Nothobranchius furzeri: one gene and its partners. Each later gene encodes a partner of the first gene's protein in a complex. Links are inferred from orthologs where the notes say so. Each region holds a gene or a part of one and is shown in the gene's direction. Other genes may lie near its edges.

Evidence for each region.
Region 2: cdhr2 (region 1) and cdhr5b share a complex: the UniProt entries of both Homo sapiens proteins name them as parts of the IMAC/intermicrovillar adhesion complex. The link is inferred for Nothobranchius furzeri from reciprocal best matches to the Homo sapiens genes CDHR2 and CDHR5.
Region 3: cdhr2 (region 1) and anks4b share a complex: the UniProt entries of both Homo sapiens proteins name them as parts of the IMAC/intermicrovillar adhesion complex. The link is inferred for Nothobranchius furzeri from reciprocal best matches to the Homo sapiens genes CDHR2 and ANKS4B.

What each region holds. Positions count from the first base shown.
Region 1 is NC_091742.1:44,952,948-44,957,392, reverse strand, and holds the start of cdhr2 (cadherin-related family member 2), read left to right. Parts: upstream 1-1,503; 5' UTR 1,504-1,570; intron 1,571-2,921; exon of another isoform or gene 2,922-2,939; intron 2,940-3,039; exon of another isoform or gene 3,040-3,054; 5' UTR 3,055-3,056; coding exon 3,057-3,105; intron 3,106-3,184; coding exon 3,185-3,244; intron 3,245-3,341; coding exon 3,342-3,481; intron 3,482-3,579; coding exon 3,580-3,630; intron 3,631-3,703; coding exon 3,704-3,793; intron 3,794-3,956; coding exon 3,957-4,037; intron 4,038-4,120; coding exon 4,121-4,243; intron 4,244-4,445. UniProt on the Homo sapiens protein: Intermicrovillar adhesion molecule that forms, via its extracellular domain, calcium-dependent heterophilic complexes with CDHR5 on adjacent microvilli. Thereby, controls the packing of microvilli at the apical membrane of epithelial cells.
Region 2 is NC_091754.1:42,612,049-42,616,487, forward strand, and holds the start of cdhr5b (cadherin-related family member 5), read left to right. Parts: upstream 1-1,518; 5' UTR 1,519-1,770; coding exon 1,771-1,876; intron 1,877-4,439. UniProt on the Homo sapiens protein: Intermicrovillar adhesion molecule that forms, via its extracellular domain, calcium-dependent heterophilic complexes with CDHR2 on adjacent microvilli. Thereby, controls the packing of microvilli at the apical membrane of epithelial cells.
Region 3 is NC_091752.1:56,799,661-56,803,760, forward strand, and holds the start of anks4b (ankyrin repeat and SAM domain-containing protein 4B), read left to right. Parts: upstream 1-1,176; 5' UTR 1,177-1,407; coding exon 1,408-1,568; intron 1,569-4,100. UniProt on the Homo sapiens protein: As part of the intermicrovillar adhesion complex/IMAC plays a role in epithelial brush border differentiation, controlling microvilli organization and length. Plays a role in assembly of the complex.

The sequences.
Region 1 (4,445 bases):
ATACATCACTGGGTGTAAACTTATCTTCTCCAAACTGAGGCTGTTCAAGAAGTTATCTACAGCTGGTAAGGTAACAATTATTTATAACCTTAAACAGAAACAGAAGGAAGTTGTTGTTGCTTTGTGTAATCTGCTTGAGGGAGTCAGGGACAGCGGACTGGAAGGATGAGAAACAAGCTGGCTGAAAGCAAAGGTCCAAAGCAATAAAACTGATAATCGTACACACACCTGTACCTGTCATAGACAGAAAACTAAGGATGTGACTGTAGTGTTAGTACTTAAACTTACTTTGTCATGTTACCTGTTATTTTTCATGGTTTTTAATAAGTTAGTTGTCATCCTCATCTCATAACCACTTGTGATTTACTCTTTTTGCCTTTTCATTTTACGACTGATGATCTTTTCTGCGTGGAGCTCCATCACCATGGTTGACCCTGATAATATTTGGCTTATCACATTAGATTGACTTTTTTTATTATGATGTTTCTATTTACTGGGACTGTCTGAGAAGGATTTTATAATGTTCCCACCCTTTTATACTCTTACTGCTGGCTCAGAGAGGCGGCGTTGTGTTCAAAATTGTAAGCAATAAACCAAAGTCCTGTTGGAAAAACCAGGCAGCAGAAAGGCTGTCATCACTTTCTGGATTGACACATTTTATTTATTTATGATATATTTCTTAAAAGTTTCTCTCCAAACAACTCAGTTTGTTGTTCTCCGCACAAACGTTTCTCATCTGATACCAAATCCAAACCGGAGGCAAAGGTGCCACGTTCGTTCTGCATAGCCTTACGTGAACAATTTGTAGAGCGTGTTAGACAGTCAGTACATCTACATTGTTAGTTTATGGTATTTATACTTGCTAACATATTAACAAAACAGTTTGCTTAGGGGAACACTGTCCTGTACAAGGATTTCAGTCACACTTCTGTTTGTTTTCCACGTGCTCTAACTAATTTTCATTCCCCCAGTCTAAATGTTTGTTCTGAAAATTTCCTGAATGATTATTTTTTTCATCTGATCTCTTTCTTTAGCTTTTTCCAACTGTATTTTCCTACTTTGAATATTCCCCCTTTTCCTGCTGAGAGGATCTGTCTGACTTCGTTTGGAGGCGAATGTCTGATTAAGGGTGAATACCAGAGCACAATCCTTTGTGTGAGGCTCATTAATTAGAGGAGACAATGCTGAAACTCTGGCTCATTATGGGATGGATCTGTGGTTTCTAAACAAGACTCCAATCCACCGATTGGTTGGAAATGTTTTTAACGGTCCCTGGTTCCATCAAATTTACTCAGGGGAAGCGAGCTGCCTTCTGTGGTTGTGGTTCAGACCAAGAATGGCACAAAGCCACAGGACTGGGGTCCTTCACCGAGAATCAGCTGAGAGAGACAATTAGAACTTTTTCTATTTGATGGGAGTTTATTTTTCAGGGAGACGTTCAGAGTGGTGGTGCTGGTTGTTTGTTAATGATTTATGTTTACAACGCTGACGTGATAACGACACAGAGATACAAGAGCCAAAGGTCTTACCCACTAATCAGAATAAGGAAGCCGTCTGTGATGGTCACCAGGTAAGGCTACCTTCTCTGTGTCAAACCACTTAAAATGGTGTTACTGCGTTAACATGCTCAGTCTTGTGGATACTGAGATTTGCTGTTTAAATCAGACTTGAACAAATGAGCAAGGCACTTCCAGCTGTTTTGTGTTTTTCTGAATTACCAACACCTCAGCGACCAGCTGTCATGATCAAAGCTCCTATTTGTCGTTTTAAATGTTTTTAAGGAAACGAGGGATTTCTGATTCCGCCACTAATTCTTAAAAGATTCAGACATTTACAGAACAAAGCTCATATTTAAACAACAACTGATTTTAGAAAAGTAAATGTTATTTGTATATTAAAGTGACAACAGTAGCTATGTAGAAAACACAACTCCATTAATGATTCAGTTTTATTAACGTAACTACTAAAAATACCAACATTTAGCTCTTAAAGCTCAAATGAGAAAGTCAAATTCCTCTCATTTCATTCCTGTGTGTGTGTGTGTGTGTGTGTGTGTGTGTGGTGGAGGGGACTTCTGTAAGGCAAATATTCATCAGAAGAAATTATTTTAAATCCTGTTACTTATACAGCTTTTTCTGCCAATCACCTATAACCAAACTCATTCTCAGGTAAATCATCTCTTCTCTGTACATCTAAGCTAAAAGGAAATGACCCACTTTTCACCTGTCGATTGTTTCGGTGTGGTCAGACATTCAATTTGTTATCCAGTTTTAACTTTCGTAATCAGGGCAGGTGATCTTGGTTGTTACAAGCAATGGGCATGAAGTGAAGGTTATGGTCGGAGTGACATCACTCATCGGTTTTGGAACCCGGAGGTTGCTCTTTGGCCCTCAAGATTTCTTTATCTGTATGTGCTTACAGTAATAGAAGATTGTGTTTGTGGGAGACAGGAGTTGTGCTGATTTCTATTCAAACCCTATAATAAACTTATTAGCCTGCTGTGCCAGATAGTATGAACAATACACAGATATCAGTAACACGGTATATATTTATACTGTAACTGTAGTCAGTCTTTACTCCATTAAGGAAAAGAAAAGCATGTTCCTTGGCTTGTTTGCAGATTTAGAAGCTGGGATTCGTTCTTTCTTCTGTTTCTCGGTTTCAAAGTGCTTAAATGTGCCAGAGTTCCGTAAGTCAAAGGAAAATGTAGCGCGGCCATTTTGTTGTTGGATAGCAGGAGTGTGTGTTAGAATCATAATTGGATGTTCAGCTACATCTGATTAACTTCTGGAGTTAAACTCATTAATGGTCCACATTTAAGCAACATCTGCAAACAGAAGATGGCTTCAACTCCATTTGGTAAACTAATTAGAGCTAAAATGTGATGTGTTAGGAGCTGAGGGTCGTTCCCAACACGTCTGTTGTTCCAGATGTGTGAGGTTGTACACGCCCGCTTTTCATCTTTGGCATCATAAAGTCAAGATGAAGCTACACTCCGTATCCTTTCTTTACCGACTCGTTTAATTTTAAACGTTCTAGCGGCTGTTGTTTCAGACATGGCGCTCACAGGATGGATACTACTGCTCCTTGTCAGCTCGGTCAAAGGTGACCATTTCATTTATTTTAGTTTTTGTGAAAAATTTTTTTGCATCACCATCTAATGTTAATATTCTCTGTTTTACAGCCAATTTTAGTCCCACGTTCAACAGTCAAGTTCATCACGTGTGTGAAGACACCCCAGTTGGTACATACATCTAACTGACTACTGAAAATGTCAACTTTCATGTGCTACCAATTGTGAATCCCCTTTTCTAGACGTTAAATTGGTTTTGTTTGTATAGGGGAACTTGCATTTGTTATAAATGCCACAGACCCAGAAAATGACCCACTGACCTACTCGATCTCCGGGGTCAGTGCTGCATTTTTTGAGGTTGAAGTAAACACTGGAAGAGTCACAGTAAAAACTCCTCTTGATACAGAGGTATGATGTGTTAGTCATGAGGAAATCTTTACAGGGGGGAATAAAACAGCATATTTTTGGTTGAATATTCACAAGTTGCATGACTTCATCTCTTCTAGGCTAGTTTTACCCTCACACTGGACGCTACCGTCTCTGATGGCACCACTCCCGTAAGTTCCCCTCCCGTTACTACCAGTTATTCTTTATAGTATTAATCACATTTATTTTAAACATGTCTTTCAGGTTTCCGCAACATTAATTATAATACTAGACGACACCAATGACAACATACCTTTGTTTAGCCAGTCTAACTATGACATATCAGTCCCAGAAGTGAGTAAATCATATAAAAAAGTTTCTTATTAGTGATGCAGTTGAGCTTTTTTGTTAACATATTCTAACCATGTAGCCCATTTTTAAAGCTCAGTGAAATGGATTTGCGTTATCTGGGTGTTTTTTTTAAATATTTTTAGCATTTGTTTCATTTTTATTTCAGAATGCACCCATTGGTAGCAATCTGTTTAAAGTCTCTGCCACTGATCTCGATGGAAATCCCATCACATACCGCATCACAGAGGTAAACTCCACTGTGAGCAATTTCATTTAGAACCATTATTATGTTCTGATATTGTGCAAAGTTTCATGGTTGTGTTTTTCCAGGTAACACCAACTCAGGGATCGGATCTGTTTGAGATTGGCCAGTTTAATGGTGAAGTGAAGCTAAAGGGACGTCTCAATTACACCTCGCTGAGTACCTTTTATCGGCTTAAGATTACAGCAACTGTGAGTAGAATGGCACGAGCTGCTGTTTGTCATATTCTACTGAATTCAAAACAAAAACGTATTTTCAGTCTGCCGTCTGCTGTAATCGCTGTGAAAGTTACTCTCTAAAAACATGTTTTGGCTTTCAGTGTAGGAAAACAGTTTTATTGATATGTTTGAAAGCCTTAGAGAATCTGGATTAAATGTTTTGTTTTGTTTCAAG
Region 2 (4,439 bases), on another chromosome or scaffold:
TGGTCCTTTTCAATGGTGGAAGTAGCTGCATCATCCGTCTCCGTTGATAATCGCGGTCGTTTGGGTGGAATAAGATATTTGTCCATGTTTGCATCAGGCTGCTTTGTAATAGCTATGCGCTAGCAAGACAAATCTCAGTGCTTCTAAAAGCATGGGGTCAAATCGAAGTCTCGCGATAGCACCAGTGAGGCACGTCTTTTTTTGTTTTTCCAAGAAATTTGTTCTCCAAAACTATAAGTAAAACTACCACTTTTTATGTTAGATTAAATATATATATTTTAAATTATTTAATGTAAAAACTTTATACAATCTTTGTTACAACATAATCAGGGTTGCTAAGCAGTTGCTTGGTCAAATCTTGTGGTTGCTATAGCAACACCAAGCTACTGCCTGGCGCCGCGTCTGATCTGGAAAAGTGGGGGAGTACAGGGAGGTGGAGTGTACAGTCGGTAAAGACAGCTCTCCCTTGCCCTGCCTCTAATATGCCTCCATCTAAAAAGGCTAGGTTATCCAGAGTTATCTCTGTAGTTATGCTGCTATAGGCTTAGACTGCTGGAGGATACACTGACCACTTTTCACACTCTACTACTTTATTCTACAATCTGCTCTTTAACTGTTATTTCCTGCTACTTCAGCTATTAACTTTATTTTTTCTCTAAGTATTTTTCTCCCCAGAAGAAGCTACAATGATGTTCTGCTGAGCTGTGGTGGCCTCATGGAGGGGGCCATCGTCTAGCACACTGCTGCTAACCACTTAAACTTTTTCCCTCTCCTGACAATTACTTTTTGTTTCCTTGACATTGGATGTGCTACTGCTGGTTTACCCTTTTAACAATAGATTCACTAGGATAAATACAATAACGTTTATCTCTCGCCAAATAGAATATTTACTAAGTAATCACGGTGTAACCATGGACACATTGCTTGGTGTGTGTGTGTGTGTGTGTGTGTGTGTGTGTGTGTGTGTGTGTGTGTGTGTGTGTGTGTGTGTGTGTGTGTGTGTCTGCTCTATCTTCTCCATCCCCAGTGAGTCGTGGAGGATGGCTGCTTATACTGAGCCAGGATTCTCTGGAGGTTTCTTCCTGTTAAAAGGGAGTTTTCCTCTCCACTGTCGCTATATGCTTGCTTAGTATGAGGATTGATGTAAAGTCACTGACACTAGTCAGTGACTTGATGCAATTTGCTGGGTTCCTTATATAGGAAACATTGTTTTCTGATTAGCTTAATGAACTGACCTGAATTGGAATGTTTATTATGTGAAGTGCCTTGAGATGACTCTTGTCGTGATTAGGCGCTATAGAAATAAAATTGAATTGAATTGAATTAAGCAAACAAATTCCACAGGTAGAAAAACTCAGCATTATGATTATATGACACACATAAAAATGATGCTGTCACTTCCTCGTTGGTGTCTCTTTCAGGCTCTGAAGGCTGTCTCCTGGTTTATTAGTTTGTGTTTTCACTCTGTTGTCAACCATAAACTCAAATCAGGAAAGAAGACCTATCGATAACGAGAGTGTAAAGCAAAGGACATACCTGTGTAAAAAATTTAAGAACTGATCAATTTACGACATCATCAGCTGTGTTAATCATCACAAATGTGTAAGCATGCTGGGGTGAGATGGCTCAAGTCAAAAGACACAAATTAAAGGCAGTCAGTCCCAGAAAAAGATCTCATATGGTTTCTCGGCAATCAGAAGTGCACCTTTTTATGATGGGTGAAAGTCCACCACAGCCGTAACAGCAAGCAGATAAGCAGAGAACAGAGACATGAAGGCCAGTTCACACAGAGAGGACGGAGACATGGACGCAATTCATCCACAACTCTTCAGCTTCTTCCTGTTTTTCCTCCAAACCTCCACCGTGACAGCGAACAGTGAGTATTGCTTTGTTTCACTGTTTTATCAGGCTGATGGTGTCTCCTAACAAATAAAGTGGTTCCTTGTGTTTGTTGAGACGGATAAATAAAACGACAAGAAGAAGGTAAAGACTGAAACAGGAAGTGGTGAGTCATGAAGGCAGCACAATGGATGGCGAGTTCAGGAATCATCACATTTACTTACTTTCAGATCTGACAACATTTATCTCAACCAAACCAAGTCATCTCTAAAAGTCTCTGTGTTCTATCCACCATCCTTTATACAAGTGTACACAGAACAGGGCAGCTACACGGCTCTGAATCTAAAGCTGTGATTCAATTAGTCGATACTCAGCACGACTCACGTTGATTCGGTTTGTTTGGACTGCGTTTCCATTAGTATCCAGTCCATGGTCACTACTGAAAATTATTCCAAGTGCACCGAGCTGGGACGAAGACGCGACATCTGTGATAGTCGGTCACTGCTTGGCTACTGGTTGCTTCAGCATTCAGGACATTTTTTTATCTGCAGACAGGCATATTTATTCAGTGTTTTTGGAGAAGTTGACTGATATGTGGCTAATGAAACTACCAGAATGCACCATGCATTAGAGGAAAGAGCCAGTGCACTGAGAAGCCAAATTTAAAAGTAGTGGTGTGATCTAGAGATGGAGAGATTCACCGATCTGACCCGGTGGTTCGTTCATAACATTAGCGACGTGACTGCACTGGTAGCTTCGGGTACATCGGTTACAACTGATGGCTGCATCACATTGTATATTTCCATGGGTGTCTCTCGTCGGTAAAAACCATGGTTACATTGATTACATCATAGTTTACCTGCTGTCCTTATCTCTTTCAGCGAAAACCAGGTGCTGCCCACTGCGCATTGAAAGTGGTAGCATGTTGGGGCTATTTTAAAGGGACTTTTCGGACTTTTAAATTTTTATGCTCACGATTGCCCCCTCAGGCCAAAAACGTAACGGCAGCTTCTATTGTAGGCTCGTGCACGAGGTGTGCATGCTGTACGTGCACACTCCTTAAAGAAAATAACAGCTGAGACAGTACCGTGTGTGTGTGTGTGTGTGTGTGTGTGTGTGTGTGTGTGTGTGTGTGTGTGTGTGTGTGAGTGTGTGTGTGTGTGTGTGTGTGTGGCCCAGAGGACAGAGGACAGGAGAACGCACAGCTAATTAATTAAATACTTTGGTTCTGTACCTTTCTCTTCAGCACAGCCAACAAAGGTTTAAGATGGGTCAGTCCTCCTGCATGCTCAGATCATTCCCTTCCCTTGCTTGAAAAATTGTTCCAAAATGAAACGTATCTGTAACATTTAAATTCTTGATGACAGCTGAAACAATGTCAAACCAAAGAACGGTTCGGAGCGAAAATGACTATTTTGTTACTAATTTGCAGGAAATATCTAGAAGAAAGTTCTACAGAAAGTAGCTAAGGGTCCTCAGAAATGTAGCTAGGTTTGTCACTAGGCGTTAGGAACAGCGACAAAGTCGCTGAGTTGGCACTACCTCTCTCTCTGCTGCTAAAGCTACTAATAGCAAATGCTACGGGCGATGCCTGAGCGTGAACACGCATGAAGCAGCCTGCTCGACCCGAGCATCTCTCTTTTTCTGTGATTTTACAGAAAAACAGGCAATCACAGTAAAAATGCCAGGGCTCATTCTACAGGACCAGGGCATTGCAGGAGAATGTATGAAGAAGAAAAATAATATTTCTATACATGTTTTGGCTGTCAAACTTCCATAATGCCCCTTTAACTGAGATACGTGCTTCCTGTCTCAACTTGCCAACGTAAAATCAACTTCTCCGTGACACTGTCTCTGGTTTGTGCAGCCACGTATTTTTAAGAGCGTTCTTATTGACCTGAGCACCTGAAGCTTTGTGTGAGCTAATTTAAGATAATCACTTATTACTGTAACATGTGCAGAATTAAAAAAACTCCAGAAGGAATGACGTTGTGCCGTTAACTGTAGTTCATAGAAGTCCAATAAACTTCTGAGATACGCTCACATCTCCAGCATTCACTTCCTAAAGGAACAGTAGCTTTAGGCTACAGCAGCTCTCACAATAGCTCCTTATGGATCAGTACAATATTTTATGTTCAGATGCTTACGGTGTTTAATAATAATTCCTAATAATTATGAGATGAACGCTAACACTTTTTTGATTCTGTTGGTTTGTTTTTCTGAAAAGAGTGACTGTCTAAACCGCATTTCAACCCTTCAATGTCAGCAGAGTAATAAAAATATGTATAATATGGAAAAATCACTGATGAACTGCATTGTCTTTTCATGTTCAGTTAATTGATAAATGAAATAATGGAAGATCAAATACATTCTTCTGTGATGATGTTTAAAAACCAGATGTGGGCTTGCTATTTCTTCTTAATGTGCTGAGTCGTTTCACATGAATTGTGTCAAATCGACTTATGGGAGCTTCTCGTAGCACTACTCAGTGTGACACGGATGGGTGTGGTTTGGGTGGACAGCCTTTTCGAGCAGCATGGTTTGGTCTTTTCGCAAAACTATTCAGTACCTGGTTTGATACGGGAGTGAAGTGGGAAAGA
Region 3 (4,100 bases), on another chromosome or scaffold:
TTCTCACACATAAAGCTCTTAATAATCAAGCTCCATCTTCCATAAGTGACCTGATTATTCCATATGTTCCTAACCGAACACTTCACTCTCAGACTGCAAGTTTGCTGGTGGTTCCCAGAATATCTAAAAATAGGATGGGAGAAAGTTCTTTTAGCTATCAGGCTCCTCTCCTGTGGAACCAGCTCCCAGCTTTAGTCCATGAGGCAGACACCTTGTCTACTTTTAAGACTGGACTTAAATTATTTGATAGGGTCTATGGTTAAAATCTGATGTTAGCCCAAATCTGGACAAGTGAGGGAGTAGAGGGAGGTGGAGTGTACAGTCGGTAAAAACGACTCTCCCTTGCCCTGCCTCCAACATGCTTCCACCTAAAAGGCTAGGTTATCCAGAGTTATCTCTGTAGTTATGCTGCTATAGGCTTAGACTGCTGGAGGACACACTGACCACTTTCTACACTCTACAACTTTCTTCTACAATTTGCTCTTTAACTGTATTACTTTCTGCTATTTCAGCTGTTTATGTTTTTTCTCTAAGTGTTTTTCTCCCCAGAAGAAGCTAGAATGATGTTCTGCTGAGCTGTGGTGGCCTCATGGAGGGGGCCATTGGCTTGAACACTGTTGCTAACCACTTAAACATTCTCCCTCTCCTGATAATACAATTTAACTTTCTTTGACATTGAATGTGCTACTACTAGTTTACCCATTTAATTATAGATTCACTAGGATAAATACAATAAAGTTTATCTCTCACCAAATAGAATATTTACTAAGAAATCACAATGTAACCATAGAAACACTACTTGGTATATATGTTGTGTGGTGTGTGTGTGTGTGTGTGTGTGTGTGTGTGTGTGTGTGTGTGTGTGTGTGTGTGTGTGTGTGTGTGTGTGTGTGTGTGTGTGTGTGTGTGTGTGTGTGTGTGTGTGTGTGTGTGTGTGTGTGTGTGTGTGTGTGTGTGTGTGTGTGTGTGTGTGTGTGTGTGTGTGTGTGTGTGTGCTCTGTCTTCTCCAGCCCCAGTGAGTCGTGGTGGATGGCTGCTTATTCTGAGCCAGGATCCTCTGGAGGTTTCTTCCTGTTAAAAGGGAGTTTTCCTCTCCACTGTCGCTAAATGCTTGCTTAGTATGAGGATTGCTGTAAAGTCACTGACACTAGTTAGTGACTCGATGCAATTTGCTGGGTTCCTTATGTAGGAAACTTTTAAACTGGTATCCTCTTTAACTGGTCACATGTCTGTTGTGATACTTGTGCTTTCAGGGATGATAGTTAAAGCAGGAACTGACGACATCAAGCTGGACTTTGTTTTATAGCTCAGCTGCTCACACGCCCAGTGATCACTTTGTTTGCTCGGGTCAGCCATCGCTGTTCCAATTCTGTGGTCAGAGGAGGCAGCAACACATTCATTTGAAAGATGTCGAGGTACCACAAGGCAGCGATCGATGGTAACTTGGACCTCTTGAAGGAGGCAACAAGGAAGCACCTGAACACCGCAGATGATGATGGGATGACTCCCACCCTACTGGCTGCTTTTCATGGACACGTCAACGCTCTTCAGCTCATATGCAGCAGAGAGTAAGTTACTTTCTATTATCCAACCAGGATTAGTCTGAAATCAGGCTGTTTGTGGATCAGAACTCTGTCTGTTATTATGATCACTGCTATTCACAAATGAATTATTCCTCCCTAGAGAATTAAATTAAGATTAACAATAAGTCATAAATAACAGCAAAGGAGCAAAGGTCAGCGTTACCGTAGAAGGTGTTTTATGGCTTCTTTTTCATTCAATTGATTTTTATGGGACTTTATTTACACCGGTTGATGTTTTCCATCTTTCTTCCACATTCTCCTTTGAGCAGAGCCAAAATTTTTTATTTGTTCTGTAAAACAAAAGAGCCTTTCATTCAGCCATCTATCCCCCAGTACCCCCACCTTGGCTCCATTAACAGCAACAAAGGACTGGTTAAAATCTAGCCTGAGACCCAGAGAATATGTTTGATACATGACCTAAATCAGAAGTTAAGTCTTTTTATCAGAACCAGTCAGATCTGGGCTTCATAATAAACTCCTGTAGCGATTAAAGCTTTTATGGCTCCAACAGGAAGGAAAACCATTAAAGGCCTTCCAGTTTAACAGCTCAATAGCAACAGCTCATTCTGTAAACCACTGATTTTAACACACTTATTATGTTATAACACAATAATATTGTGGTTTTTATTTTACTTTTATATTACACAACACAAAGGGAGATTTGTGAAGAGACTGCTTTTTGAAGGTTATCGAAAAGTAAAGAATAATAATAAATGAATAAATAAATAACTATATTTCCCATTCATTTATAAATAAAATAGTTTGATCAGCAAAGCACAAGCATGTTGCCAGCGCTCTTAATGATAAACACTCAGATTAAATACATGGAGACGTGTTTAACCAACGTGTGTCTACTTTTTTTTATTATTTATTTATTTATTTATTTCAAAGAACAAGACGAAAATAAGAACAAAAACATGGAATATTTACAACAACACACACAGAAAAAAACAAAGAATGAAAAGGAACAGAGAGAAGAAAAAAATCTTATTTTTTTTTACTAAAGCAACATAAAATTCATCCCCCTCAACAAATTCAACTTGCACACTCACTTTGCAGACACCATCTTAATTCATATTTATATAATTTCTTAATACATTTAATTTGACACCTTTTTAAAATACATTAAAGAGCAAGTCACCCCCTACCAGAGTCTTACTCCACTCCCACTTCCTGTTTGAAAATGCAACAAATGCCGTTGCCTGAGGGCGAAGCCGCTAACAAACACACACACACACACACACACAGGCTCACAATGGCATTGTAACATCACATGGTACCAGCTGATGTCATAGGGTACCTCTAAGCCAATAACGACAGCAGATTAAAATACACATGCAGTGCTGAGTTTTTACCTGAAGATGGCGCAATACTGACAGTTTGGCAGAATTTTTAAATTTGAATTAAGATGCACTAAAGTGCCTAATTATTGACTACACATGTCTACAGCATGATTAGACACTCATTTTTTTCAGTTTATCAGCAAAAAAAGTTATAATAACTAAGGGTTCGAAACTCGGTTGTAGACTTTCTGCGTGGAGTTGCATGCTCTCCCCATGCATGCGTGAGCTTCCCCCACAGATCACAACATGCCCTATAGGTTGAAACATTGTACGTCACTTTGTACGTCTGCCAAATAAATAAACATAAACATAAATAAAGGGTTACATGGCTCTCTATAGCGAGTGTTACTGATGGCTTTCTGTTAATGCCATTATTGCCATTGAAGTTAGATGTTTTGTCCTAAATCCATATTGTTCATGGTTTAAAATATTATTGTTTTCAATCAATCTATCCAACCTTCATTGAAAAAAAATATATATTTTAAACCTTGAACAGTATCGATCTGACTTAACCACTGATGGTGCTGTAAAAGTCTATCTGTTGTGAGCTCAAATACAATATTTATCATTTCCTTTGCATATAAACACTTTTTTGTTTTTATTCAAATACACATTTTTGCACAGATAATGTTAACTACAAAGAAGAAAACATTATTAATATATATCAGAGTTGGAAAAAACATGATGAAAGTTATTTTGTTCATACAAAAATTAATTTTACTAACTGACAACAATAATAATCTTTGTTTTATCGTTTTTGCAAGGTTTTCTCGACATCTATAATAAGGCCTACTTCGTTTTCATTCCTTTCTCCTCTGCATCTGTTTTGAGCTGCAAAAGACACGTTGTTGAGCTAAACTTTAAAGTTAAAATATGGAACACTTTTCTTATTTTTTAAATAATACCCCCACAGGGCGTTTAGAGGTGCAGGATGAATGTACAGTTTCTCCTTTAAAAGCTATATTTAAAAAATGCATAATCAAATTTTTATTTTGTTGGGCATGACACTGGCTTTATGTTTACATCTACTGGAACAGGGTGCTGAAACGTGTCAGCAGTGAACCAACATCCCAGCTGCTGGAAAATTTGTCCTATTGTTGCAATACCACCTCTGAACACCAGAGTGTCCATGTTCCATATTCAGCCTTTAATGTTTGATTCTCATTTACAATCG